6 linked regions of the Rattus norvegicus genome follow. The protein of the gene in region 1 purifies or fractionates together with the protein of each later gene. This does not show direct contact. Links are inferred from orthologs where the notes say so. Each region holds a gene or a part of one and is shown in the gene's direction. Other genes may lie near its edges.

Region 1 (3,500 bases):
TTGGAAGATGGAGCCAGCCAGCCTTGATCAGAGGCTTTGCACAGTATCTCTTAGCGTTTCTAGATGTATCACTCTTTAAACAGAATTTGACTGGTGTTCTGTTAATAGAGCACCTTTTGAGGAGAATGGGAAAGTTCGATTGTTTGTTTGTTTTCCCATGTAGGCTCTTTTGAGTGACATATTATTTAACAGTGATTTGACCCTTCAGACCTAAGAGTTTAACTTGTAAATCTTCAAGTCTCTTAAAATTGAAGCAGGGGTTGGGGATTTAGCTCAGTGGTAGAGCGCTTGCCTAGGAAGCACAAGGCCCTGGGTTCGGTCCCCAGCTCCGAAAAAAAGAATCAAAACAAAACAAAACAAAACAAAACAAAACTGAAGCATATTGGTCCTCAGCTCCAAGAAAAAAACAAACAAACAAACAAACAAAAAACAAACTAAAACTGAAGCGTACTTAAGAGGGGAAAAGGGTTTCTTTATGGGGAAGTGCTCGTTGGTTAGTTTTTAGAGACAGTCTTGCTCTGTGGCCTAGGTTAACGGTAAAGTCAATCCTCCTGCCTCAGCCTAAGATAGAGGTGTGTGGCACCATGCCCAGCAGAGGATTGCTCTTGTTTGTCTGCTTGTGCAGCTTAGACAGGCTCCACATTTCTGCTCCTCTTACCTCAGCCCCCCCTAGACTTGAGGTGGCAGGTGGTGACCATCCTCCCTGGTAACCTTCGCTACTTTAAAATTCCTTGTTGGTTTTTATGGCCCCTTGTATGTAAGTTTATCTAGGGATAGACACTGACAGCCTGAATTGGTAGTCTTCAATTCAACCAGAGGTGATTTTTGGCCTTAGAGATTTTTCCCACCTTTGAAAACATTTTGGGTTGTCACAAGTTACAGGGCAGTGTGCCACCGGCATCTAACGGCTTGAAGCCAGAGATATTGCTGAAGGGGTGGGGAAAGGTTTAATCAGAAGTGCTAAGTTCTCTGTCCACTTTGAGCTTCAAAACCACTTCCTAACAGGATCTCACAATGTAGCGTTGGCTGGTCCGGAACTCGCTCTGTAAACCAGACTGGCCTCAAACTCACAGAAATCTGCCTGCCTCTGCCTTCTGGGTGCTGTGTACCACTATGCCCAGCCTAGGCTTTATTTTCTTAAGAAAAAATCTGAAGCCAGGAACTGCGGGTCCTGCCTTTGATGCCAGTCCCTGGGAGGCTGAGGAAGGGGGGTTGCTGTAAGTGATCAAGGCTGGAATGAGACCCTGGAGCTTGGTATGTGGTCCAGGCTGACCTCAAACTCTCAGGCTACAGAATGCTGCGCTCACAGGCATGATGGACACGGTGCTCACCTAATCATGTTATTTCTCGGGATAACTGAGTAAACTATCACAGATGGGCAAAATGAAGTCAGAAGAGAGTCTGATTATGTATTAGGTTCAGGTGATTCTCTTTCTTTTTTTTTTTTTTTCCCCCTTTTTTTCCCGGAGCTGGGGACCGAACCCAGGGCCTTGTGCTTGCTAGGCAAGCGCTCTACCACTGAGCTAAATCCCCAACCCCATGTTCAGGTGATTCTCATGGCAGCAAGATGGCTGCAGTCGTTCTGAGCTCTGATCGATCTCATTCCCGTCCAAAGCTGCCCTCCCTGTGGCTGCTTGCATTGTTTCGTGCCTTAGTGCTAGCCTTTGCCAAATATGCCAATTGCTGTTAATTTAATCGCCAGCGCCCTAAGAAAGGAACGTTTCCAAACCACAGCTGCTCTCTGCTGCATTCTGAGGGAATCTGCTGAAAAGGGGGGCAGGTTTCATGCATCCTGTGGTTTGATAGGTGTGGCACAGGAGCAAGAGCTGGAGGAAACAGGGTACGTCTGCAAACCAGCCCCGTGACCAATCCGTGTAAGGCAAACCTGTTTGGCAGTATCTTGAAGGCAGCTGCCTCAGGCCGCCTGACTGGCCTTTGCTTGGCTGTTTTACTGCTGTTTTATTTGTTGTTGGAAACAAACAAACAAACAACAGCAAAAACCCACAGGCACCACAGCCAACACTTGAGGTGCTGAGGCAGGAGGATCCTAAGTTCAAAGTCAGGATGAACTACATAGAAAGACCTTAATACTTACAATACTTCGAAATCCAACCAAACACTCCCAAATGCCGCCTGTCCACCACCAACGCCCTTCCCAGCTCACAAGTGAGTTCTCAGGTTTGAATGTCCCAGCAGCACCGACCACACTCTGGTGTGCATGCGTCTCATATCTCTCACTGGCCTGGGGGCCCTGGGGGCCCTGGGATGGTGTGGAAAGCGATGGCTCAGAGCAGGCGTCAGGGTGCACCAAGCGAGGGTAACTAACCAGGCAGCAGCCATATCAGCTGTCTTAGAGATCTCGGTAGGAACCGACAGATGGATTTCCTCCAATCTGTGGCTGGGAAGAGAGGAGGGAGGGTTGTACTTCCCATGTATCCTTGCAAGGGTAGAAAAACTCAGGGAAGCAGGGAGCCAAGAGAATTTACCGTCTTTCACCGAGAGGAGAGACAGGAAATTCTCAACCTACCCCTTAGCCCTCAAGGCCTTTTACTCTCAGAGCACAAGCTCCTGGCGTCAAGGTCTGACTTCAGAACCTGAGTGGGTTTGGAATTTAGCTAGACTGTATCCCGCCTGTCCGCAAGATGTTTTTATGATCCAGCGCCATTGATCTAGGTGAAATGATTGTAGACTGACCAGAATTGCCCATGAACTATTTATGTTTAATCTCGTGAGATTTTGTAAAATGTTTTAGGCTCAAGTACTAATAACCCCCTTTGGCTTTTCTCTCTTAGGAAAATGGCAGACGGCTTCTCAGTAAGTATTTCATGTGTGTTCTCTTAGCCGAGCTTTCCCTTTGACCCTCCTACTGTGAAACTCCCTCTGGCTCTCGTGTGCATTCAGGCCTGTTAGCAGCAGGCTTGCTTTCCCAGCAGCAGATTACAGGGAGAGGTGTGGCCTGCACAGCGGAGATGTCCCTCCTGGAAGCAGCGAGACGGTGACTTGGTGCGCTCATGCCAACACCTGCAGCTGTCTCTCGTGTTGACTAGAAAGCGTGTGTTTATAGCCAGCCAGTTCCTGGTGTAAACCAGAAGAGCTTAACCCACCCCGACCCACGAAGATGAGAGACCAGAATAAAATACAACACAAAACAGCAGAAAAGGCGAGGGAAGAATATGAATCTTTTTCCTGTACTCTCAGCTTCTTAGATCACAAGTGCCTGGAGTCCCGTGGTGAAGGAGTCCCATCCTCTAATTGTTTGTCTTTCTTTACAGCTTAATGATGCCTTAGCTGGCTCTGGAAACCCAAACCCTCAAGGATGGCCTGGTGCATGGGGGAACCAGCCTGGGGCAGGAGGCTACCCAGGGGCCTCCTATCCTGGGGCCTACCCAGGACAGGCTCCTCCAGGGGGTTATCCTGGACAGGCTCCTCCTAGTGCCTATCCGGGCCCAACTGGCCCTAGTGCTTATCCTGGCCCAACTGCCCCTGGAGCTTATCCTGGC
Region 2 (3,500 bases), on another chromosome or scaffold:
CTTTCGGAGCGATGATGCACTCAAGGAGTCAGCAGCCATGCTGAACAACATGCGTGTCTATGGTACAGCCTTCCTGGTCCTCATGGTCTTGGTGGTGTTCATCGGCGTACGCTATGTGAATAAGTTTGCCTCACTTTTCCTGGCCTGTGTAATTGTGTCGATCTTGGCTATCTATGCTGGTGCCATCAAGTCTTCCTTTGCTCCACCACACTTCCCGTACGTACCTCTCTTTGACATAATCGTCATTGGATAGTCAGTGAAGGTATCTGGTGATGTGAACATTTTCACCAAAATTTCATGGAGTGATTTCCTATTGGTCCAATTTCCCAGAAGGAAGCTTCCTGACATACTGTCCTATTGACCCTCTTCTTCACTTCTGAAATGTAGACCTAACAGCTGTATCCATTCTTAAGGTACACCTCTTTATGTATGCTGCTCCTTGCCCCCCAATAATGATTGTGTTTGTGTGAACTATCCATGAAGGACTTTGCAGTCATAGTCATTACCAGCAAATAATGTTCAGTCGCTTTTAAAATAAAAATCAATTCAAAAGAATTCTACAGTAGCAGTCTGGAAAGGGGACTCTGTAGTTAAAAGCAGTGGCTGATCTTCAGAGGACCTAGGTCCCTAACACCCACATGATGGCTCACAACTGTCTGTAACTCCAGTTCCAAGGGATCTAGTGCCCTCTTCAGGCCTTTACAGGCTTCAGGCGTACAGAACATTCAAGTAGGCAAAAACACCCATATACATAAACTAAATCTTTTTTTAAAGAGTTACCTAAATTATTTATTTACTTTATTCTTGGTACCGTAAGTGCTCAGAGTTATCAGGTATAAAGGGAAATGGCTGTCTTATCGCATGTATGTCCCCTGGACGTGCCATATCATACATAGTACAGTAGTGAAGTGATGAATTTGTGCAGACTTCCTTCACAGACTCACCTGTTGTCTCAAGGATTTGTGACACAGAGGCCAGTTGACACTGAGTATTTGTAATGTAATCTTATTACAGAAGTTGCCTTTGAACTCATGTGGATCAGCAGGGAATCAAAGTTATTGATATTATGCTGATTTAAAACAAGTTACAGGAAAAAAAAATACAAAAACATTTTTTTCATGATGAAGAAGCCAGATCAAGTGAAGATGAATGACTTTCCCCAAAGTCAGCTATTTCATGGGACTTTGTGATTTCCTGATTGCTATTTGGTATTTCTTCTATGTGATGTCAGTAATAAATCCCACCATAAATTTTCATTTTGCTTACTTAGGGCCATAAAATAAAGATCATTTTCAGAGTTATAAAAGTTTTAAAGATTTACTTATTATATATGAGTACACTGTAGCTGTCTTCAGACACACCAGAAGAGGGCATCAGATCTCACTACAGATGGTTGTGAGCCACCATGTGGTTGCTGAGATTTGAACTCAGGACCTCTGGAAGAGCTGTCAGTGCTCTTAACCACTGAGCCATCTCTCCAGCCCTGTAAAAGTTTTAGATGCAACTTTTTAAGCTGTATCTCAACTCGGAAAATTCCATTTGCTTCAGGTTCCTCTTTGGGGCTTCTCTATTTCTGTTTGGTTGAAGAAGAAATCCCAATACAAGCTATTTTGTTTTTTTAAATTCCAGCATAATATGTTAAAAAAAAAAACCAAAAACCTTAGATAAACCATGAAACAAAACTAGGATTGTTGAGTTGTTGAAGCCACGTGGCTAATTGTGTATGTATGAAATCACTCTGCAGATTTGGAATCGTGGTTTATTTTTTCTTTTTTTTGTTTTTTGTTTTTTTGTACCTCAGAAGTATTGTATTACAGGTCTATTACTCCATTCTTGTTTATGTTTCTAGGTAGTAGAAAAAAATAAAACTGCAGTTAATATTTGTATAATTCCTCTTTACCACTGGGTCTAGGTTTAAGGTCAAAAACAGTTTTCTCTTGGGCCATGGAGAGAGATGCTTTTAAGTCTAGTCAGACTGTCCTGTAGCAGTAATCAGAAGACTTGGACGAGCTGGCAGTCCCAGGAGGCTGTGACAAGCCTCTTCACATTTCATTCCCTACCTTCTTTCTTTCTCTTCCTCCTCCCCCTCTCTGCCTCTGCCTAGAAAGAAAACAAGCAAATGAAAATATGGGTATTTGGACATATTTTAAAAATAAGAGCAGAAGTTCTCTGGGATTTCATTGTTGCTGGCGGTGGTAATGGTGTGGGGGTAGGGCAGTGACAGTCCATATGTGTGTCTGTGTGGAAACCAAAACAAGGTTTCAGGTATCCTTTATCACTCTCTATATTGTACCATTTTTTGCACTGTTTAGCTGGACTGGCTAAATAGTCCAGCCTTTCTGTGTCTCCTCCTCCCCTGCCCCAATTTCCAGAGCTGAGATGACAGGCACGTATGACCACACCAGGCTTTGACCTGGGTGCTGGAGATCTGAGCTCAGGTTCTCATGCTTCCATAACAAGAACTCCATCTCCCTAACCTCTCCAGGATTCCTTTGGGCCTGAAAGTGAATGAATAGCCAAATATTTTTGGAAGATAATTGAGCATAGTTTCTTTGTACAGTTCTTGTGTTTGAATCATATCACCTATATCTGTCATTTGTATGACCTTGGTCTTGGGCAGAATACTGCATCCCTGTAACCCTCAGGGCCTCCAGCTACAAAAGATAAATGTTAAAATATTGTGAGATCTGTGAGGGTTACACTGGCAGAAAGTACAGGTCACCTCAATTTTAGGTCATCCTTGTCTACCCATGACAGTAAAATCTCTGGGCAATGACATTTTATCCTTGTTTTTTCATCTTTAAAACTTAGTTTTCTCTGTTCTTTTTTCCCTTCTTGATCTTTCTCTTCTTCTCTGTTTGCTTTGATTTAGGGTCTGTATGCTGGGCAACCGCACCCTGTCATCAAGACACCTTGACATTTGCTCTAAGACCAAGGAAGTTAACAACATGACAATACCATCAAAGTTATGGGGATTCTTCTGCAACTCAAGTCAGTTTTTTAATGCCACCTGTGATGAGTACTTTGTTCACAATAATGTCACCTCAATCCAGGGCATTCCAGGGTTGGCTAGTGGCATCATTACTGGTAAGTTAGAGAGTTTAACTAGATTGGTTTGTTTTGTGTTGTTTCTTCTTTAAGTACAGTAGTGGGACGTAGGCTTTCCCGCCTTAGGTCTTCACCCTCCCCCTATTTTTTTTACTTTGTATTATAGTATTAATTACGCATAACAATAAGTTTATTATATCTTATACATGCTTATTGTGTTATTTTAATCATACTTACTCATACTCATTATTCTCATTTGCATACACACTGAATCTCATTGGAACTGACTATAGGTTCATGGGTGGTGTGTTTATAGCAGCATGGGCACTTTACAGTGGCTACAAGACTGAGGAAAATGTCTCGCCCTCCCACATTAGGTGGTTGGTTATAAAGCCTCAGGATGGGTGGGGTCTTGTGAGCTCCCCTTCCTCAAAAGACATAATGATAGAGCC
Region 3 (3,500 bases), on another chromosome or scaffold:
GTGTGTGTGTGTATGTGTGTGTGTGTTAGCATATCATGTAGCCCAGGCTGGTCTTGAACTCATAGTGTACCTGAAAAGGATGATCTTGAACTCCTGGTCCTTCTGCCTCTACTTTTCCAATGCTGGGATCACAAGTGTGCATTACCATGCCCAATTGTGTGTGTCTGTGTGTCTGTCTGTGTCTGTGTCTGTGTCTAACTCTTACTCGGTAGCTCTGATTAGCTATGAACATACTATGTGGACCGGGCTGACCTTGAACACACAAAGATCTGTCTGCCTCTGTCTGCAGAGAGCTGGGACTAATAGCGTGAGCCACCGTACCCAGCCCCATACCTAGCGTTTTATGATGCTGGGACATGAATCCAGGGCCCCTTGCATCCCACACTCTAACTGAGCTACATCCCAGACCTTTTGGTACCAGGCTGAAGAGAGAAAGGGGGTCTTACTTTGTAGCCCAGGCTAGTCTCAAACCTCGTCACCAACTCAAGGCCACCATGCCTATCTTTTTTCCCCCTTCAGTACTGGTGACAGAATCACAGCCTCCTACATGCCAGGCAAGCATTCTGTCACTGAGCTATGTCCCTAGCCCTGAGTCTTCTCAGCTCAGTACCTAAAGTAGCCTCCACTGGGCCAGAAAATGTATCTCCAAGGCTCCAGAAGAAAGCACAAGCGCCTGGTGGCACCGTTCTCGGGTGGAAAGGGGCTGGGAGAAGGAAGCTGTTCCCACAAACAGCCATGTGTGTGTCCCACTGGCAGCCATGTGTGTTTTCCAGACCTGTCTTCCCCGCTGGAAGTTTTGCGTGAGTGACACAGAAAACAACCTGGGCTTTGCCCTGGGCCCCATGTTTGTGAAAGCAACCTTTGCGGAGGACAGCAAGAACATAGTAAGTGCCTCTCTGTGTTCAGGGTGCTGGGGATTGAACCCAGGGCCCCACACGTACTAAGGCCCCAGCCCCAGCCCTCGCTGTGGTCACTAACAGTACTGACTGCGTAGAGCTTATGTCAGTCTGTGGTTAACACAGAGTCCAGCGGGAGTCAAGGGCTCGCCCCCTTCGGTCTGTCACCTCGGCTGCTGTGGAGGGCCTCCCCCCTCTTCTCCAGAATCTTCAACCTGTCTCCGACCTCCAGGTCCGGCCATGATGTAGTTACCTTTCCAGAGCTCCTGTTTGTTTCCGTAGCAACCGCAACCTTTTGGAAACTGTCCCTAGATTTCAAACCTCATTCCATTCAGAATGATTTCTGTGCTCTGGTCAGTCTGGGAATGGCCGAGGATTTTAGCCATCACGGAAGGGCTCACAGTGCACCTGCCCATGTGAGAGGCTCTGAAAAGTCCAGCAACAGAGACTGCGTCAACTTCCTGAAAGTCTGCCTCATCTCACTTGACCCCAGTCCTGTTAGCGGGAGGCCAGCCTTGGCTCGAAGGATCCTATAAGGAGAGGATGGGTAGGAAACATGGATCCTCCCTGACCCAGTCCTGAGTTTAGCCTTTGGCCGGCGGTGTCCTTTAAGCACAGCGCTCCCAGTGATGCAATGTCCTTAGTTAGGCACAGGGCTCCCGGTGATGCAATGTCCTTAGTTGGTGATGCCAGAGCCCAGCCCTCACTGGCGTGGCATCTGTCCCTCAGGCCAGCGAGATCATCCTGGAGATCAAGAAGGCATTCGAGGAGAGCCTGAGCACCCTGAAATGGATGGATGAAGATACTCGGAGGTCAGCCAAGGAGAAGGTGAGGCTACCTGGCAGTTCAGATGTGTGTGGATGCCATTGTGCCCTGTGATTCTAGTGGGACTCAGGACATCCTGAAGGCCCCCGTGGCATAGAGTCAGGGATATCCCATAGCAGAAGGGAAAGGACAAGGGGGGTGCCCACCCTGGAAGGGACTAGGCCAACCCTTTCGTAAGAGCCAGCTCCTGTGTTAAGTAACCCTCGGTCCCTCTCATTCCTGCAACCGTGGCTGTCCTTCATGAGGACCAAGGAAGGCTGTGTGACTCGCTCACCTTCCAGAACCGTTCAGCTCAGAATCAGTTACAATGTGTAAACTTTGGGTGACACATCCAAACCATGATGCTCTCTCGAGGGAAATGACATTTCACAGAATTTACCAGACTCCTTCCAGGAAAAAGATATAGAATCCTTAAGGGGGCAGGAGGCTAGCCCTGCCTCTCCTTGGCACGGACCCTGAGCTGGATCCCACAGAGCTGGGGCAGGCTTGGCTAGCACCATTTGACCCTGTTTTACTCCAATCCCTCCTGTCCAGGCGGACGCCATCTACAACATGATAGGCTACCCCAACTTCATCATGGACCCCAAGGAGCTGGACAAAGTGTTCAATGACGTAAGTGGCTTCCGTCTACCCCTCAAACTCCCTGAAGCCCATGTGAGGCAAGGCCACGGTGGTGGCCATCAACCTATACCAATGTGATGTAGGGCGGGGTTTAGGGATACGGGGCATGAGGAAAGTTTCCCCTGTTCCTTTGTGGTCCTGGGTCAGTGGGGGTCCCTGTCTCCCCAGAGCCACCATCAGCCATTGCTCTGTGGTTATTTCTGGAACACAAGCTCTGGGCCTCACTAGGAATGGCGGCTCCAGGGAGGGAGTGGGAACGGCTAGGGCAGGGTGCCTCCGTGGCACAGCATGTGCTTAGAGTGTGTGAGGCCGTAGGTTCCATCCCCAACAGCATGGGGCAGGAAAAAGGAGGGGAGAACAACCGGACATGCCAATATGTGTCTAACCCTAGGACTCCACAAGCTGGGGCAGGAGGAACAGGGTTCAAGGCCATCTTTGGCTACTTGGCAAGTTCAAGGTCACCCTGGACTATAAGGTAGACCCTATCTCAGACAGACAGACAGACGGACGGGTCCAGAGCGCGTACTGCTCTTACGGGAGTTGGGTTCTCAGCACCCGCCTTGGGCAGTTCCTGACCTCCTACAACTCAAGCTCCAGTAGATACGACTCCTTCTGGCCACCCCGTCACACACGAGTGTACAGTAAGCATGCATGCATGTGCATGTGTGTACACATACATTTATTAAGTTTATTACTTCAAAGAAAGTGTTTCTTCAAAGGCACAGTGAGAATCAGCAACCCTAAAGCCTCGAGTAAGCAAAGTGAGCCCCTTACCTGCTGCTGCTGCTGCTGCTCCCAGGCGTCCTCCTGCCCCTGAGCTCCTCTCTTCCCTCCTCAGAGAATGCCTAGACCTTTAGCTTTGACCTTGAAATGCTAATGGGAAAGAGGAAGCACACTTCCAAAGCCTGGCATCAAGGGGTAATGGAGGAGCTCCTGCCGCCTGGAACGCTAATCAGCTGCCTTGAGTGACTGCAGTTCTGAGCCACAAGATTAGGTCTTCCAAGTTCTCCATTGAAGATTGTCATTTGGGGCACTTTTGACGTTACAGTAGCCTCACCTCCGGGCTATATTTAAAACCCGAATCTATTAAAATTACCTCAGAGGCTGTCAGACTCTGTCTGCAGCTCCAATTCCTTGAGAATCATTTAAAGTGTTCTC
Region 4 (4,128 bases), on another chromosome or scaffold:
CTGACGCGCGACTCGGCCGGGCGCGCGCCATCCTGCTCAGCCTGGCGCTCTACCTGCTGGGCATGCTGGCCTTCCCGCTGCTGGCCGCGCCCCGCTCGCGCTCTTTTCTCTGCGGGGATCCGCACCCGGAGCTGGTGCGCAACTGCTCGGCTCCCTTCCCTAACGGAACGGCGGTCTGTCCCGATGCTGCCGCGCGCCGCTGTGCTCCCGCCACCTTCGCGGGTCTAGTGCTCGTGGGACTCGGTGTGGCCACGGTCAAGGCCAACATCACACCCTTTGGAGCGGATCAGGTGAGCCGGACCCGCCCAGGTCCTCCCCGTTTTGTGTCTGCACCTCCTGCGCACCACACCTACCCGAACCTAAGCCATGACTTTGCTGCGTGTCCGCCGCGCACGGACACGGGGACTGTCCCGGTACCCTGCATACCTGCACCTGTCCCTACGGTTCTCTACTGATGGAAAGGACCCATCCCAAACACCCAAACCTCCATCCCCGCTTGACTGCACCTCACATCACTTCACATGTAGAGAAGGGTTAAGGCGAGGGAGAGGAGCCCCCAGGTCAGGTAGTGCAGAGAAGGCGGCCACTTGCCTAGGTTCTCTCCTCGTTAGTGGAGGTGAGGAAGGAGACCTATTCTGTAGTGACTTAAAGAGTGGGGAGGAAACCCATCTGCCCCAGCACCTGAGTGGGTAGGAGGAAGAGCAAGGCTTCCTCTAATCCATGTGAGGAGGAAGCTCATGAGTAGAGCCCATTCCACACCTGGCACTTGGTTCATGACTTAGTAAGGAGTGCACCTCCAACTCTACGCGCACCCCTGTCCACATCTGCTTTTGCATCTGGTAGGGGACTGTAAGAGAGGGGAGAACCACACCCACCCAGTGCTCTCGGGGAGGGGTGAAGGGGTGTGTGTGTGTGTGTGTGTGTGTGTGTGTGTGTAAGTCCTCGAATAGACTGGAGAGAGCTGTACAAGCAGGTGTGATTTGGGTGGTAAGGAAGGGCTGTGCCTTCACTGTGGTGGGATTTATTCGTAATGAAATGGCCATTGTGGTTATACGAAGAAGGGACGTTCTGTTGGTGGAGTCCTTTGAGTTGAAAGCTGCAAGAGAAAAGGTTGACGTTGTGATTTGGAGGATAGGCTGGTACAAAGGCTCTGTCCCTGCCCTAGCTTCCCTTTTACAGTTACGGGCAAGCACTTAGTTTCCATTTTCATTGCTTTAAGTAAGGGGTGGGGTGGGGTGGGTGGATGGGAAAGACCAGCATCATGCGGCTGCTCTGACATCCAGGAACAAGAGATGCGGAGGGAGGCAACACTTTAGAGAGCAGAAGTGATCTGCCAAGTGTCTGGGAGCCACATCTGTTCTGCTTCCCTTTTTTAGGGGACTCCCATGCTAAGAATGGTTCTAGTGGTCAAATGCAAATGAGTATTTTGTAAGCAGTGGAAATTAAGTGGGGTTTGAGCGCCAGGCTCTCTGGATAAAGCTTTTTAAGGTCCTGCTTACTCATTCCCTGCCCCTGCTTCCCATGCAGTTGTGAAACTGAGTGATCGCAGAGGCTAGATAACTCCTAAAACCTAACACATGCTGTCCTGTTTCAGAGATTGCAAGCAGCCGTCAGTGTGTACTGTGTGGCAGGTGGGTGAGAGCACAGCCTGGGCTGCCGCTGGGCTGAGGAGAGAGGTGTGGCCTAGAGTGGAGGCATGTGGGAAGGAGGCTGAAGGGGGAGGGCTGGAGGGTTATTTGTGAGCAGCAGGGAAGGTGAGCCCTGGGTCTCAGTACAAAACTGATCCTTGAGTGACTGAAGTTGAAGTAAGCGGAGTGAAGTCATCTGCTCAGAGTAGCACCGTGAATGTAGGACTGGCCAGTGTTTATATGGTGCCTGTAAGGCTGGCCATTTCAGGGAGGATACATCTCAACTGTATCAGAGGTATTTAAAAAGAGTTTGAGGCAGGAAGGTTGCCACCCGTATTATGAGCTACAGAGCAAGACTGGGGGTCATACAAGTAAAATGTAAAGGAAAGTAGTTGCTACCTGAGAGTTCTGGAGTTCTGAAAGGTGTTCCTCACACTTCCAAGTCCAGACTCCTGGCCTTTGCCTCTGTTCCAATAGTGCCGTATGATGCCACAGGCCAAAAGCACATTAGCTGTGTCCTTTAAGCCTAGGTGTGGTGGTTTGCATGAAATGGCCCTCATAAGCCTCATATATTTGGATAGTTGGCCCGTAGTTGGTGACTGGAGGAAGTATGGGGTGGGCATTTTATTTGAGAGTGGAACTGCTGCTCTAGTCAGCAGTCTGCCCTGCCATAATGGACTGGAACTATGAGCCCAAGTAAACTCACCCTTCCTCAAGTTGCCCTGGTCTCATAGTGTTTATCACAGCAATGGGAAAGTAAGAGACACACTGGGCCATACTACATAAGGTGTACATGCTACATAAGGTGTACAAGCTACATAAGTACATACTACATAAGGTATACATGCTACATAAGGTGTGGACTGTGCCTCATATTTGAGTGGCTTGAGCTTCATGATGTATACTGGGCTCCTTAGACTTCTGAGAACTTATCTAACTGAGTAGATCGCTAAACAAGTATTAACTGATATCAACCAAGTCAGATTTATTTTAAAACAGTTCTTTTTACCACTTATTAAAGATGAAATCTAATTTGTGTAGTAATAAGGTGCATGTTTATATAACTTGATAACAATCCAGACATAGTGACTTCATCTTTGAAAGCTCAAGTGTGATGTCTGGTAGGGAACTATTCTAAGTCTTGGCTCTTTGGAATTAAGTCCTTATGCTTCAGTAAGAACAGAAAAACATTCTCTGTGCAGTGGAAACAGTGCAGCTCATAGCATGGTCGCATCAGATGAAGCCAGGGTGTGCCAGGCAGCATTTGTTGGCATCATGAAGCGTGTCAGTATGTGGTACTTGCATAGACTCAGGACTGTCCATTGCACATTTGATTCTGAATTAAGTTTTGGTCCTTGTGCACTCAGAAGCCTGTCACTGTTGGCAAGTTTTACACACATACAGTTGGAGAAGCTCTGGTTGTAGTGTGCATGGGTGACTGTTAAGAGCCCAGCTGCTCAGCAGGTGCTGAGGGAACAGACGAGATGCTGTGTGCTCTCCAACAGATGCTAGATCATTTGCACTGTGAGGGTCCCTGAGAGGGTGCAGTGTGCACACTTCATCATAGGTAAGAGCAGGTGCTCTTGCACAGCCTAAGTGCTATTGTTTCAGGTGTCTCCGCACATCTTCCTGGGATGAGACCCTTCTGGGTGCCAGGACCTGAGAGAAACTTGACAGCCACTTTGGGTGTGGTCAGTGACTTGCTCTGTAGAGGTTTTGTTTTCTGTTTATGAGGTTTTGTTTTGTTAATATTTTTGAGACGGGGTCTCAGTGTAGCTCAGGCCAGCCTCTAATTCTTCACTAGTTGAAGATGACTTTGAACTCCTGATACTTCTGCCCAAGTCCTGTCTATCCCCCATCGTCCTTGGTCATTTTGTTTATTTTGACCCGGGTTTTTCCTGTGTAGCCCATGCTGTCTCCAAACTCACTAAGTAGCCCAGTCACTTCTTCCAACCTGTAATAGCCTCTGACTTCTGCATTGAGAAGTGTGTGCCACCAGGCCTGGCCTCCAGTGTTTTTTTGGTGTAGTTTGGTTTTTGAGTTCTGTTCTTGCTCTGTAAACCAGCCGGCCTGGAATTCCATGCATAGCCAAGCTGGTATCAGACTTATTGTGATCCTACTGCTTCTGCTTCTGGAGTGCTGGAAGTTTGGGTGTGTGTAGCCCACCCATTTGTCTCTTTTAAAGTCCTTGTTTTGGTTGCTTGGGATATTTGTACTATGGCCTTGACATCAGATGTGGGGTGATGTTCTGAGGTGTGGTAGTGCCTTTGTGACATCATTGAAAAGTGGTGGTATTTTTAGGAGATTCTCAGTGAGGGGGTGGGGAGAAGGAGGGAGGGAGAATGAAAATGAGTGTGTGTGTAAGTTTAAACTCCCTCATTTTACACATTTATTTGTTTAGCTGGACTGGAACTTTGCTATACAGATCAGTTTGACCTGGACCTCACAGAGATTTACCTGCCTCTGCCTCTGCTTCTTTTATACATTTTTGTGTATGTGT
Region 5 (3,500 bases), on another chromosome or scaffold:
TTCATCTACCAGCTTACAGAATCCAAACCCATAAGGATTTTATTTTCTGACCCCACAATGCAGTGCCAGACCTCAAAGATAGGGAGGGCATGAGGTCAAGTCTTGGGCCTCCCTCTTGCTATATATATTTCTCCCTTCTGTGTGAACCTTGATGCTCACTGGCCTTGGGTGCAGGGATAAGGTCTCCAGGCTGTCAAACCCAGAGCTCTCCACACACTCTCCTTTTTTCCTGTGAAACCTTTGATGTCGAGTTGGTGGACGTTAAGCGGCCCTGCCCTGGGTGGCTCACAGTGGCAGGGTCCTGTGCAGGCCTGAGCTGCCATCCTGTTCTCTCAGGTTTAGGTGGTCAGTTTGTTCTCCTTGGACTCTGCCCTCTGGCCAGCTACAGCCATCCTGTACCATCCCTCAGCTGCTGGGCTCTCGCTGCCTGGTCTAGGTTGGATGACGTCCTTGGCCAGGCTTCTGTGCGAGCATTGCTCTGTGCCAGCCCTGTGGTCATCATCTACAGGCAATGTGCTCAAGCTAGTCCTCCATCTTGTTCTGTGTCCACCTAGACTGAGATGAGCCTCCCTGTTGGGGTCTGGCTTCTCAGCTCTTGTGTCCCCGAGTCTCTAGTCTGTTTCCTATTGTATGACAGTGAGACTTTTGAACTTTCAGGTAGTCTTACTGGTGTTTGGCCCCTTTCTGGCCTCCTTTCTTTCATGCCTCAAGCTACCTGGCACCAAGATTCAGGCCCCTAGCTGTCCCACATATAGAACAGGGACCCTACCTCACTGTTCCAAACTTCCCACTCTGATTCTTCTCCCCGGCAGGAAACCAGAGTCAGGCGGTTTGTTCCTGTGTCTGCCTAGGATGGTTTTCTCAACCTCCAGCACAATGCTCTAGACGCCAGGAGTCTGCTCTAGAGTCACAGAACCTCATCTTATTTAGGACGTAGATTTTTGTAGGCATCTTCCCTATCCTTGTATTTTCATTGTATGGCCACCATGTCCCTGCCCAGTTTTTCTTTTCCTGTGACCTCCAAACCAAAACATGGGGTAGGGCTCCAGGCTGAGTTACTGGGTGCGGGCTGTGAGCCTCCCCAGACATATGATACTCTGTTCCAGGCCCCACGCATGGGCACCTTCATCGGAGTCTACCTACCGTGCCTGCAGAACATCTTGGGTGTAATCCTTTTCCTGCGCCTGACCTGGATTGTGGGGGCGGCTGGCGTTCTGGAGTCCTTCCTCATCGTGGCCATGTGCTGCACCTGTGTGAGTGTTCATGTTTGCAGCTGGTCCTGGGGCAATTTCGCAGGAGCTGTGCTAGGGCCCGGGGAGGCTACTATTGGGAAATCCAGGTCTGCGTTTTTAGGTCCCTCTCTAGGAACCAGAGAGGCTCAGTCCTATAGAGGACTCAGGAGAGGTGGGCTGGCCCATCCGGTCTGGCAAAGCAGGTTTCCTGCTAGTCTGAAGATCTTATCTAGCTGTATCTATGTTGAGGGTTGCATTTCTCGTCAGGACAGGTGCCTCTTATTGGGGTATGATGAGACCCCCCTAGTTTGGAAGGATAATGGATATTTTCAGAGTTTCTTGAAGAGAAAGGGACACAGGTTTGAAACTTGTTCAAGTCCAGGCTTCCAGCATGTTTTCTAGTTCTACTGACATTTTTGTCATGCTGGTTTACCTTATCCTTGTTTACCAGCTGACTTTCTGTCCTTCCCCTTCCTCTGGTGAGGAAGAGTATACCTTTGTTTTACTTACCCACGTGTCACTGGGTCCTTTCTGTAGGGAAGTCAGATAATATGGTTGAATGGGAGTCTCCTTGACTCCTACCCCAGGCTACCTGACCACTTGTTCCCTGATAGCTCACACCTGTGTGTCTATCCCAGGCTACCTACTGTCCTTTGACTGGCCATTCTTGTGGCTACCTGCTTGCCTGTTCCATGACTGGTCAGTCTATGTTGTCCTTCCAATCCTCCAGCCCATGCTTCCCAACTGGTCACTTCATGTCTTTGCCACACCATGACCACCCTAGGGCATTCGCCTATATTTCCAGGCTGGTCATTCCACATGGTCACCCCAAGCTGTCTTCTGGTTTCCAGTGGATGCCATTCTTGGTACCACATTCCTGGTACCCTCAAATAAACTTACCTGAGCAGAGGGTGCTTGCTGGAGGTGAGGGGGATACAAGGTGTGGTGCCCTGTTCCCTGTTGCATGCACATCTAGATGAAGCGTCCTCTTGTGCTTCTTGGATTGGTAGAAAGGTCAGGCACTTAGATGAGGTTCAGCTTTCAGGTCTGTGGCGAACAGGGTCCGAAACCTGTGTCTTCTGTGACCTTTGGGAATGGGTTTGTGGGTTGGGTAGAAAAGGGTTGACAGGCAGGAGGCCTGTCTTCCCTGGTCATTAGTACCTCCTTTGAGGTCAGAAGCTTGCAGCCTCAGGCTGAGCGCGTCGGAGCATCTCAGGGCACGAGTTTCCTGAAAAAGCTGCCTCTCTTTGCAGACAATGCTGACAGCCATCTCCATGAGTGCCATCGCTACCAACGGTGTGGTCCCAGGTGAGGGTGCCAGCGCCTGTGGCCCTTGAGTTGGTTTATCGATCTCTTCACAGTACAGGGCAAGAGCTATTGCATGCAGATGCCATTCCCGCCCCAGGCTCATGTGATGACAGTGACATTAACTGTTTTCACCAGGGTGGCACTGGAGTATTGTGCTGCCCATGGAGAGAAGGGAGAGGCTCTCTCCCCAGAGGCTCTGGTGTAAACACACCCTCACTGCTTGCCTGTCTGTTACTACGAGGACAGACACCACATCCTTGAGTTGGACACAAACCTAAGTAGAATGCAGGTCCTTCTGAAGCGGTGGACTCTTATGTGCTAGCAGAGACACCCCCAAGCACTACTGCCTGTCCTCTGCATAAAGGAGTCCACAGGCCTGTGCCAGTGTCTCTCCTTCAACCGTCTGAGGGCACAGCAGGTTTTCTGAAGACAGGTGAGGCCTGTATCAGATGGTTCTCATCACACTTGAGCTAGCCTGTGACTGTGGACGGGGTAGACATGAATTCATAGCCCAAGGCTTTCTAGTGATTCTGCTTTGAGGGCAGACTAAAGCTGCTCGTCCCTTAATGGGGACACATCTTTTTTTTATAAGTGCTCAGTGTTCACAGTTAATGACACTCCCTGACCCATATTTTGCCTTGGGCTGTCTTCACAGCGGGAGGCTCATACTACATGATCTCCCGTTCGCTGGGGCCTGAGTTTGGAGGGGCTGTTGGCCTCTGCTTCTACTTGGGCACAACGTTCGCAGGCGCCATGTACATCCTGGGAACCATCGAGATCTTCCTGGTGAGTCCATCTGCGGAAGTCTTCCTTCCTTGCCCAGTCATTTTGCCTCAGACTGTCCTCTACCCTGCTGCTACGGACAGCTGGGCACTCAAAGCTGCTGTCTGTCTGGGCTGAGGGTCTGGGTCCCTGATGGGTGAGACCTCACAGTCTGTGCTGTCTCAGGAGGCATGGCTA
Region 6 (3,500 bases), on another chromosome or scaffold:
GTGTGTGTGTGTGTGTGTGTGTATGTGTGAATGTATGTATATATATATAGTAAGTCTTGAAGTCAGATTAACTTCTTCCAAAATAGTTCTAGCAATTTTAGCTTCTTAGTAATTAGTAGTACCTTTATTGTTTATGTATAAATAAACTATTAAGATATACTGATCAATAGAGCTGGGCATGTAGCTTGTTGGGAGGTGCTTGTCTAGCCTTCACAAAGCCCTGGTCTCAGTCCTTAGCACCACACAAACTGGGTGAAATGTCACATGCTTGTAATCCCAGCGTTTGGGAAGTAGAATGGGTCATTGTCATTGTGGTGAAGATCTGGGTGGCACGCAGGCAGGCATGTTGCTAGAGAAGTAGCTGAGAGATTTAATTCCTGATCTTCAGGTAGCAGGCAGAGAGAGACAGACACTGGGCCTAGGGTAGACTTTTGAAACCTAAAAGCCCACCCCAACAACTCATGGCTTCCAACAAGGACACACTTCCTAATCCTTCCAAACATTCTGTAAGTCAAAGCTCCTAACACCTGAGCTCTTACACTTCTGTCTGTCCTGGACTTGGTCCTGTGTTTACGCACGTTTCGGCAGTCAGGCTAGCGTTCCTTACTTCCGTTCAGCGCTTCATTTGGACAGCTGTCTTGCCTGTCATCTTTGCTGCTGTATGTGGTGGACAACAGTGATGGAGCCCCTATTTTCAGTCAGTGTCACTACGTCCTTTCTACTCCTATTCACCATTAAATTTTAGAAGTGCTGAGGGAAAACATAAACTGGAAAGTCAGAAGTCCTACTTGACTTTTCCTACAGTATTTTCTGATACTAAGCATAGGATACTGATGTGTTTGTGCAAAGGACAGTGCTTCTGAGAATTGAGCCTGAAGTTTTCATGTCTAACTCTTGAGTGTGGGAGGAGTGCACATGCATGTGCAGAAATGTTTGGGCACAATGCACAGGGGAAGCAATATACTGCATGTACATGTAACCTTCGTCACTTATCAGGGTGTGACTAATTGTCTTTTGCTTGTAACTTCCTGTATCCCAGGTATTTAGAAGCAGAATAGAATTTGTATCATAATCTTTTTGGCTTGGCATTTTTACCTTTAACTGTTATGTACTTAAAAAACTTCATACCTACATTACTTTTACAGCCCGTACAAATAAACCCTCTTGATGTATGAGTACACTTTCATAAGAGCTTACCTCAGTCTGACTTACTGGCTAGATCTAACCATCAGTGTTCTAGAACCTAGATGAGAGAAATGAGTTACATAATAGAGAGATAGAGTCAGCACATCACAGGATATAGGATAGGAGCTCCAGAGTGTGGCAGGAAAAACAATTAGAAAAATTCAACAGTATGACCATATATTACAAATATTGAAAACCACATTACCCAAATAACAGCAGACATTTTTGAGAGCTGTTTAAAACAAACAAACCTGTCTTGAAATGACCAAGAAAATGGGGTAGTTGGGGTAGTTTGATTGCTGACAACATAGGGATACTGTGAAGAAAAGTTCAGATAACTAAGCTGACTAATGGCTGTAGTTAGACTTTTCAAAAAGTCTTCGCCTCTTAAGAGATACAGACTGATCCTTCATGCATTAAAAAGCCAGGAGTCTTTGGAACGTGGTGTGGGATTGGCCCACGTTGTGTTTGGTTGAGACCTGGTGTTGTGTAGTTGGTAGTTCGTTACCCACAGTTTCCGTCATTTGTGCATTTGAAAATTTATGAGGAAAGGGTTTTTAAGTCAGAGACCTATTTTAATAATTTGTAATTTACTTCTCATTGCTATTACCAGATTCCTATCAGATTATTTCTAGTATTAGTTTTCTTTATTAGAAACCTCAAGTTGTGAGTATTTACTCTGTTCTGTCATTTATTCAAGGTGATGAGCATGGTGTCAGGATTTGCACCCCTGATCTCTGCGGGTATCTTTTCAGCCACACTCTCATCAGCACTGGCATCTCTTGTGAGTGCTCCCAAAATATTTCAGGTAAATATTTTCATATTATTGTTATTGAAGATGTTAAAATAATATTTCAAATTCAGATAAATTACCTTATCAATCTCATGTGTTTGTTTGCATATACATATATCAAGATTGGTGTAAATTTTATTTACATAAATGCTGTGTAGATCCCTAAAAACATTTGTGCATTTTCCTACTGTCAAGGTACAGCCTTGAAATGTCTTTAGGAAGGATGATTGGAGGGTCTGGAGAGATGGCTCAGCAGTACAGGTTCACACAGAGAATCCAGATTCAGTTTCCAGTATGTGCACTGGGTGTACATAATCAGCTGTAACTCCAGACACATAGATAATTGAAAATGATAAAATAAATATTTTAGGGATTAAAAATATTTTAGGGATTAGGTGGGTTTTGTTTTTGGCATACTTAGCATTAAAGTTTAGGATGGTTGTCAAGTTAGGAGTGCAGCGTAAGACTCTAAATCAGAACTGTAAATAGTGGTTTCAGTTAACATGATGCCAACTTGACTATCTTATGTGGCTCATAGTGCAGCGACTGTAGTAGAGGCCGTGATAGCTAGGATGAGTGTTGCTTCCTATGGTGGTCATTAAGCATCTGACAGTGATAAGTGTTGACTTTCTAGCCTTGCTCTTAATACTGTATTTGTAGCAAGAAGTATAGCAGTGTTGTCTAATAGGACTTTTAAGACAATATCTGTTAGGATTGGGAGAAAAGTAGTTCAACTTTATACTTCGGGTTTTTAATCATTTTCATTTCAGATTTGGAGTTGGTTTTCTTAAAGCCTTAGGTACACTGTATCATAATGCCAACTTTTAGGGTTTTTCATTGTACTTTGTTTGAATGACTGCTTCTCCGATTCTTCATAAATAGAGTTTTAACATGGGATGGAGCAAGACAAACAAAATCTTTAGCAGTGTTAGGAACCATCTAGCCTTCAGCTGTCTGAACTGTTCACTTGTCCTTTATAGTCTGTCGGTGCAGCACCGAGAGACAGGAAACATAGTATCGGAAAGGAGAGACTTGGACTTCATTCTTGGTTAACATACTTTAACTGTTTGCAGATTTGCACATCGTAAGTTTTATGTGTTTTGTTTTAATGTTTGTATTTTTTTTCCCTTGGGTTAGGCTCTATGTAAGGACAATATCTACCCAGCTTTCCAGATGTTTGCGAAAGGTTATGGAAAAAATAATGAACCTCTTCGTGGTTACATCTTAACATTCTTAATTGCACTTGGATTCATCTTAATTGGTTAGTTCTATGAATGGTATATTATGTAGGTTTTGGTATGTTTTGATATAGTGTTATCTGTAATCATGAATATTAAGTTATTAATGTATATTAATTAGTTTCTAATCAAAGTAAAATATTGCAAATAGTAGTACCTGATATTACTTATTAAACTTAATTCCATTGTGCAAAATTAGGGTAAAAGGAATATTATATTCTTTCTTTTTTTGTCCCTATTCTTTCTTTCCTGCCTCCCCCCCACCCCTTTTTTTTAAGATTCAC

What was found.
Region 2: the proteins of Lgals3 (region 1) and Slc12a6 purify together in Homo sapiens (affinity purification with mass spectrometry; 3 studies listed by BioGRID and IntAct, counting the BioPlex papers as one, with this or other methods). This does not show direct contact. The link is inferred for Rattus norvegicus from reciprocal best matches to the Homo sapiens genes LGALS3 and SLC12A6.
Region 3: the proteins of Lgals3 (region 1) and Ece1 purify together in Homo sapiens (affinity purification with mass spectrometry; 3 studies listed by BioGRID and IntAct, counting the BioPlex papers as one, with this or other methods). This does not show direct contact. The link is inferred for Rattus norvegicus from reciprocal best matches to the Homo sapiens genes LGALS3 and ECE1.
Region 4: the proteins of Lgals3 (region 1) and Slc15a4 purify together in Homo sapiens (affinity purification with mass spectrometry; 3 studies listed by BioGRID and IntAct, counting the BioPlex papers as one, with this or other methods). This does not show direct contact. The link is inferred for Rattus norvegicus from reciprocal best matches to the Homo sapiens genes LGALS3 and SLC15A4.
Region 5: the proteins of Lgals3 (region 1) and Slc12a7 purify together in Homo sapiens (affinity purification with mass spectrometry; 3 studies listed by BioGRID and IntAct, counting the BioPlex papers as one, with this or other methods). This does not show direct contact. The link is inferred for Rattus norvegicus from reciprocal best matches to the Homo sapiens genes LGALS3 and SLC12A7.
Region 6: the proteins of Lgals3 (region 1) and Slc12a2 purify together in Homo sapiens (affinity purification with mass spectrometry; 3 studies listed by BioGRID and IntAct, counting the BioPlex papers as one, with this or other methods). This does not show direct contact. The link is inferred for Rattus norvegicus from reciprocal best matches to the Homo sapiens genes LGALS3 and SLC12A2.

What each region holds. Positions count from the first base shown.
Region 1 is NC_086033.1:23,103,043-23,106,542, forward strand, and holds part of Lgals3 (galectin-3), read left to right. Parts: intron 1-2,792; 5' UTR 2,793-2,796; coding exon 2,797-2,814; intron 2,815-3,272; coding exon 3,273-3,500. UniProt on the Homo sapiens protein: Galactose-specific lectin which binds IgE. May mediate with the alpha-3, beta-1 integrin the stimulation by CSPG4 of endothelial cells migration.
Region 2 is NC_086021.1:119,599,612-119,603,111, forward strand, and holds part of Slc12a6 (solute carrier family 12 member 6), read left to right. Parts: coding exon 1-216; intron 217-2,872; coding exon 2,873-3,087; intron 3,088-3,500.
Region 3 is NC_086023.1:155,444,531-155,448,030, forward strand, and holds part of Ece1 (endothelin-converting enzyme 1), read left to right. Parts: intron 1-773; coding exon 774-884; intron 885-1,625; coding exon 1,626-1,724; intron 1,725-2,255; coding exon 2,256-2,333; intron 2,334-3,500. UniProt on the Homo sapiens protein: Converts big endothelin-1 to endothelin-1.
Region 4 is NC_086030.1:34,699,257-34,703,384, forward strand, and holds the start of Slc15a4 (solute carrier family 15 member 4), read left to right. Parts: upstream 1-1,328; 5' UTR 1,329-1,577; coding exon 1,578-1,631; intron 1,632-4,001; exon of another isoform or gene 4,002-4,122; coding exon of another isoform or gene 4,123-4,128. UniProt on the Homo sapiens protein: Proton-coupled amino-acid transporter that mediates the transmembrane transport of L-histidine and some di- and tripeptides from inside the lysosome to the cytosol, and plays a key role in innate immune response.
Region 5 is NC_086019.1:31,327,126-31,330,625, reverse strand, and holds part of Slc12a7 (solute carrier family 12 member 7), read left to right. Parts: intron 1-1,106; coding exon 1,107-1,253; intron 1,254-2,485; coding exon 2,486-2,540; intron 2,541-3,195; coding exon 3,196-3,326; intron 3,327-3,500. UniProt on the Homo sapiens protein: Mediates electroneutral potassium-chloride cotransport when activated by cell swelling. May mediate K(+) uptake into Deiters' cells in the cochlea and contribute to K(+) recycling in the inner ear.
Region 6 is NC_086036.1:53,573,833-53,577,332, forward strand, and holds part of Slc12a2 (solute carrier family 12 member 2), read left to right. Parts: intron 1-1,885; coding exon 1,886-1,993; intron 1,994-3,115; coding exon 3,116-3,239; intron 3,240-3,500. UniProt on the Homo sapiens protein: Cation-chloride cotransporter which mediates the electroneutral transport of chloride, potassium and/or sodium ions across the membrane. Plays a vital role in the regulation of ionic balance and cell volume.